Linked DNA regions of Drosophila melanogaster. The protein of the gene in region 2 interacts with the protein of the main gene of each other region in a pairwise test. Each region holds a gene or a part of one and is shown on either strand. Other genes may lie near its edges.

What was found. Proteins that work in one complex are often made in the same cells at the same time.
Region 1: the proteins of Ccp84Ad (region 2) and CG30160 interact in a two-hybrid assay, tested with the Drosophila melanogaster proteins (one large-scale study listed by BioGRID).

The regions. Positions count from the first base shown.
Region 1 is NT_033778.4:7,003,171-7,006,664, forward strand, and holds CG30160 (uncharacterized protein), read left to right. Parts: upstream 1-1,986; 5' UTR 1,987-2,047; coding exon 2,048-2,299; intron 2,300-2,363; coding exon 2,364-2,528; intron 2,529-2,600; coding exon 2,601-2,852; 3' UTR 2,853-2,966; downstream 2,967-3,494. Other genes in the region: Tsp42Ea (tetraspanin 42Ea), read left to right, coding at 50-211, 278-472, 735-806; Tsp42Ec (tetraspanin 42Ec), read left to right, coding at 3,403-3,462.
Region 2 is NT_033777.3:6,690,884-6,694,047, forward strand, and holds Ccp84Ad (Ccp84Ad), read left to right. Parts: upstream 1-1,848; 5' UTR 1,849-1,914; coding exon 1,915-1,926; intron 1,927-1,987; coding exon 1,988-2,575; 3' UTR 2,576-2,644; downstream 2,645-3,164. Other genes in the region: Ccp84Ae, read right to left, coding at 76-690, 809-820.

The DNA.
Region 1 (3,494 bases), on a different chromosome or scaffold from region 2:
CTGCATCGTGCCATTCATCTTGCAATTCAAAATGTATTCTTTGTGGCAGTACTCGATCTTGCTGTTCGTCCTGATGATTGGCCAACTGGCTTTGGTGATCTACATGTGGGTGCAGAAGGACAAGTACCTGGAGATCATGGGCGACGTGGTCGAGAAGGCCTGGAACCATCGCACCAGTCGTTCCGACTACATGGACGCGATTCAGATCAGCGTAAGTATTTAGGGACTTCCAAGGACATGTGACCCGCCTTCAACTGACTTTCTGCCGCTCCCGCAGATGAAATGCTGCGGACGCAGTGGCTACACCGACTACGCCTACCAGGGCAAGTTCCCTCCCTCCTGCTGCAGCGACACCAACAACTGCCGCTGGGAGACCGTCTACCGGCGGGGATGCAAGGTCACCTTCGTTGAGTTCTGGGACAGGAACAGCGACATCATCAAGTATGCCGGTCTGGTCATCGCCGCCATCGAAGTAAGTTATTGTCCAGAGTAACGCAATCGAACGAAATCGATCATCGAATCTAGGTGCTTCCCCATGTGAATTTCGAAAATATGATGGATGGGTTCATGTTACCTACCTTCCATTGTGATTTCTTGGGGATAACCAAAAAGTACTAAGTAATGTAAATCATAATTCGTAGCAATGCAGTTTAGTTTGTTATTTTACCATAAGCGTTATGAGATTTACACCTACATGTATATCTTCCAATATACCATACTCTGTTTGCTTTCAGTTTGTGGGATTCGTTTTCGCCTGTTGCTTGGCGAACAGCATTCGGAACTATAGACGCCGTGCGGAATATTAATCGACAAAGGACTAAGGCCTTGCACTAATTTTAATTGAAACCGAAAGTACGAATTATGTTGCCCAATTTTACGAATATTTACCTGATACAGATGGCCATTCAAATTTGCATAATCTCAAGCGTAAGCAGCAAATGCAGCAAATCCAATGACGAATGCGTAACGATCACTTTTGTAAGATCGTTTGTTCAAAGTTACACTGAATGTGCTAATATGTTTAACTGTACAAAATAACTTATACTCCTGGAGATTGCAATAAACGGAGAAATTTATTTACAATTTACGAAAAGAGTTCAGTCTTTGTCTTAATGGGAAAGCTTACATTGTTTGCAATTCGACTTAATCCCTAAAGCACCTATTTTTCTAAATTGCCACGGGAGGATTTCGGCCATTCGCGATAACGTTTTAATCTGCAAAGTAATAAGTATAAATAGAGTTGGCCGAAACCAACAAGTACACTTTGATTACAGATCATTATCAATCATTGGCTCTATTGACATATTTCCGTAGAACTAACCTATCAGAAGACTATATTTAGTTAGTTAGCTTTTTAGGGCTCAGACGAAATCTTATCTCCATTGAGCTATTTTATCTATGAAGGGCACATAGCCGTTTTGTGAATGTCAATGGGAAATTATTCCGCCGTGGAAACCCCAATAGTTGCCAAAATCTTGTTGAAGTTAGGCTGGGAGTGCACTCGCTAAAAGGTTTATTGCTCGATTGATAGTACATAAATCTAGGCGATAAGATCGGGGACTCACGGGGAAACGGACTCCAAGCAACGTAATATGTGAGTCAGCGTGCACCGCGTACTCTTGACTGGTGATAAGGCAAGGTGTGGAGGGTGTGAATGATTCATCTTATGAACGATCTAACGCCCCCAAGATGGAATCGCACGAGGGCTAGATAAAATTCCGCCACCAGCAGTTTGCACCTACCATTCGTTGAATGAATCATTGCGCCAAGGATGTAATTTCCCAGGTTCGGACCACCACAATGATCTGGTATCTCGTGGGTGCAAAGCGATTCACCAAGTACAAGTACATGGGCATCGGAGCTTCCAGCACAAGTACATACGGAATTTTATGGCCGAGATAAGAGCGCAGCCGATAAGATGAGGACTCCGAGTAAGCTTTAATAGCCGCGTTCTGTCCGAGGGCCCATTCAGTTAGACGAACATCGTCACATCGAACGAACGGATTATCCAGCTAGCCAACGAGAAACCCGAACAGAACCCAGCACCATGAACTGTCTATCCGCGATGTTCAAGTACCTGCTGTACTTGCTCAACCTGGTGTTCGTGGCCGGTGGCATCCTGCTCATTGTGGTGGGCTCCATCATGCTCTCCACGATGGGCAACTTTACGGCCTTCGACGGAGGCGTTAACACCCAGACCATCCCGATCTGCATTATCGTCATCGGAAGTGTCACCTTCGTAGTGGCCTTCTTCGGATGCTGCGGCACCATTCGCGAGAACGCCTGCTGCACCACCATCGTAAGCACTCGGAAATCACCCACTGACCGAAATTGGATTCTAAATGACTTGGCATTCCTTTCAGTACGCCATCTGCATGCTGATTCTGTTCGGCCTGCAACTGGCCCTCTCCATCTGGATCTTCGCGGCCAACGACAAGTTCCTGTCCAGCATGGGCAAGGCAGTGGACAAGGCGTGGGATGAGAACAATGCCGCCCAGGGATACCCCATGGATGCCCTCCAGTTGGCCGTAAGTTTATCGAAATTCACCATCAGATGTCATTAGTTTTTTCCGGATATTTACGTATCTATTCCATTGCAGTTCTCTTGCTGTGGCAACACGGGATACCAACAGTATGAAACCGTGCCCAGCTCCTGCTGCGGCTACAAGGATCGCACCAAGGTGTGCGAAGCGGAGATCTACAGCCAGCGACCTGGCTGCCGGCAGGAGTTCGTCGATTTCTGGGCCTCCAATACGGACCTGATTCGATGGAGCAGTCTGATCATCGCCCTCTTCGAGCTGGGCATCTTCATCATGTCGTGCTGCCTGGCCAGCGCGATGAGGAAGCGCTAGAGCCGAAGTCAGATACAATCCTTAGACGTAGCCCAGTTCATAGCATAAATCCAACACACGAATTCCTCACTCACTCACTCACCGTAAATAAACCAGAATAGGTTAAGCCCAATGAAATATTATTGCTTATTCGCTGTCTACCTCTGGCTGCCGTCTATCTAATCAAGACAGGTTGATGTTTTTCCAAAAAGTATGTCCTTATCGGCCTGTTAGCCGAGTGCCGCGTTTCCGAGATCGAATGCCCTCAGTAGTGGTGAATCACCTCCATATGGCAATGGCTATCGATCTCCGCCCGCCGCCCAGTGCCCATTATCTATTTTTCGTTTCGGCCATGATTATGATAACAGGCACTTGCGTATCTTTCCTCCGATAGCGCCCGTGTCTGTTGGCCAATTTAAAAACAGTAGCCCATCTGGAGGAGCAGTCCAATCGAACGACAGTAAACGACGCGAGTGCGCGATAAAATCAGAGACACCGACAACTCCTTTGGATAAAACAATAGTGTTTATTTAATTCTACTAAATACAGGAGCAAACTATATACTTTCAAAATGGGTTGTCTATCGGGAATAGTCAACTTTATTTTATATATTGTCAATATCGTGTTTTTGGTAAGTGCTTGTCGGTTGAGTATCTAAGTAAA
Region 2 (3,164 bases):
ATTAACATATCAAATCACATTTTATTATCATAGAAACAAAACAAGGGTTCAAAATAACAGCGGTCGCATGGGTGTTTACAATTGGGCGACGGTGTACGCAGGGGCGGTGTACCGCAGAGGCGTGGCATAGGCAGCGGTACGCAGAACGGGAGCGGGAGCAGCCACCGCCAGAGGGGCGGAGCGGACGAACGGAGCGGCAACTGCTAGGGGAGCGGACTTGATCAGAGGAGCAGCGACGGCCACTGGAGCGGAGCGCACAATGGGAGCTGGTGCGGCCAAGGCGACAGGGGCGATGGGGGCGACTGGAGCGGCCTTGACCAATGGGGCAGCAACCTTCAGCAACGGCTCGGCGGCCACAACAGCGGCAAGGGGTTCACGGCGGACGACGGCGTTGAATCCGTTAATGGAATCGGCGGTATAGGTCACGGTGCGCTTAAAGCCATCGGCGTCGATCAGGGAGTACTCGCCGCGGACCACGTCACCATCGCGCTCCTCCACATGCCCCTTGTTGTCGCCGGAAAGCGTGTCCTGCACGTCGTAGCTGTAGGTGTACTGAGGATGCGGATCAACCTCCTCCAACTCAACGGTCTTGGCCAAAACTGGCACCGGAGCAGAAGCCACTGCCACTGGAGCAGCAGTTCTAAGGACGGCGCCATGGGCCACGGCGAACAGAGCCAAAGCGATAACAATCTGCGGAATAAATTACACTCTTTTTAGGATTTTTTTTTCCAAGATAAAAAGGCGAAGGCAGTCTGGTAATCCACTAGTAGTCCCCCGGAACGTTTATCCTCCAATTGGTAGCACAAACCTTTGCTGCCATTGTAGTTGGATGAATTTGATTAACTGCTGTCTTGAGCCGAAGCCAAACACTGAATGTCTGACCCATTGTGGGCCGTTTATTTTATACGCTACTTGGTGACATTGATGACACCTAATTGGAATTCATTTTTGGCGCATCACCTCGAGCGGCGCCGGTGGCATGTAAAAATTGTCACGCACCTTCTTCAGTTCTGCCAATTTCGATCGGTCGAAATAACCAGCTGCACTTAATTGATTACGCCAAGCCAATTTTAATTACTATTTTCCTTAAACTTGGAGTCTTCTTATTCAATTTTGTTGTTTTTCTTTTGGAAAGTACAACAAAGTAAGTGTGTATAATTGAACCCATTTTTTATAAAAAGGGAATAAAAGTTCTGATCTTATTTGTTTAAATATTTGCTAGTCAAATTATTAAATACGTTTTGAGTTTGTATCCATAGGTTTGTCTTGGTGAGGTATAATGAATATTTTATGTTGGGATCATAATTTGATTATTATGTATTTAAAACACATTTCCTACAAAGTTGTATAATTTTATTAACCTACATAAAATATTACAAATATGTTACAAAAAAAAGTTTTAAGCATGTTAAAAAGCTGTTCGCCTGTGAACTATCTTCAAATTTTGGAAACCAAAGGTGGGTGATAAAAAATAATAATTTTAATTTAATAAAGCTACGATAATTTAGATGTTTTGAGTTAATATCTTTTTAAGCGACCTTTTTGCCACAATATTAACTGTCTTGTAAGCTAACTGGATTTAGTAAGCAGTGATGTCACAGCGCACGCTCTCCGTTTCTCTCGGATAAATTGAAGTTATTTGATGACAAAACACAGAGATACAAAGATTGAGCACGCCTTCAAGCTTCACTTTTCCCTCTCCACACACGTTTAGCATAAATGAATTGCACTAATTACGCCAAGAGCGTGGCCCGCCGGCAAAAGCGAGTTCGGCCATTCAATGGTAGCAGCAGCTGAAGAAATAGCTCCATCTCGGTATATAAGCCAAGTGTTGGCCCAGTAGCCCTCACAGTTCATTTTGCCTTCCAACAACCAACAGCAGCAGCAGCAGCAGCCAAATCAATCCAAATCAAAATGGCATTCAAGGTTCGCCCCGAGGACTTAGCCCCGCCAAAGACCCACATCCTAACTGCTTTCCCTCTTTCAGTTCATCGCCCTCTTCGCCCTGATCGCCGCCGCCAGCGCCGGTGTTCTGCCCGTCCAGCAGGTGTACCACGCCGCCCCCGCCGTGGCCACCTACGCCCAAGCACCTGTCGCCGTTGCTCACGCCCAGCCGGTTCTTGCCAAGGCCGCCGAGGAGTACGATCCCCATCCCCAGTACAAGTACGCCTACGATGTTCAGGACTCCCTCTCCGGAGACTCCAAGAGCCAGGTGGAGGAGCGCGATGGCGACGTGGTCCGCGGAGAGTACTCCCTGATCGACGCCGATGGCTACAAGAGAACCGTCCAGTACACCGCCGATCCCATCAACGGATTCAACGCCGTTGTCAACCGTGAGCCCCTGGTCAAGGCCGTCGCCGTTGCCCCCGTTGTGAAGACCGTCGCCGCTCCCGTTGCCCACTACGCCGCCCCTGCTGTCGCCCATTACGCTGCTCCCGCTGTGGTCAAGACCGTGGCTCCGGTTGCCCACTACGCTGCTCCCGCCGTGGTCAAGACCGTGGCTCCAGTTGCCCACTACGCCGCTCCTGCTACCTACACCTCCTACGCCGCCCCCGCTGTTGCCTACCACCACTAAGAACTGTCATTTTACGTTTCTCAACCCATTACTGTTATAGTTTTACAATTGCCTCCTACAAATACACACAAATATTAAAAAAAATTTTTTTTTTTATTTTCATCTATTGATCATCTATTTTCATCAACGGCAGCTGAAACAATTTCGGATTTGTTTTATCCGGATAAAATTGAGTCAAGGAGATAGCGTCTTCATTAATGACATTCTAATGTGTTTCAATTAGATGTGTTAGCCATATTTAATACCTATAAAAAATACTGCAAAATCTTTACAAAAATAAAAAAAAAATCTCAAATATTTTGTTTAAATAATATGTGCAATTTTAAAACCATCAGCTTATATTTTTGATTGCATTAGATATTTTTATATTGATAGGGTATTGATGAAGTTATGATTAAAACTAACAGAGTCAACATAAAAAAGTTAATTCTTGAGAGTTATAGATATAACAATATTATTTTAAATATTTTTTTAAAAATGTATGATATGTTTATACCCTGCGCGTCTATCTAATCAAACTAAGCTTAATAAAATATGCAGTTGATAATAGACTATCAGATACGCTTTAGATATCATCAGCAAGTTTTAT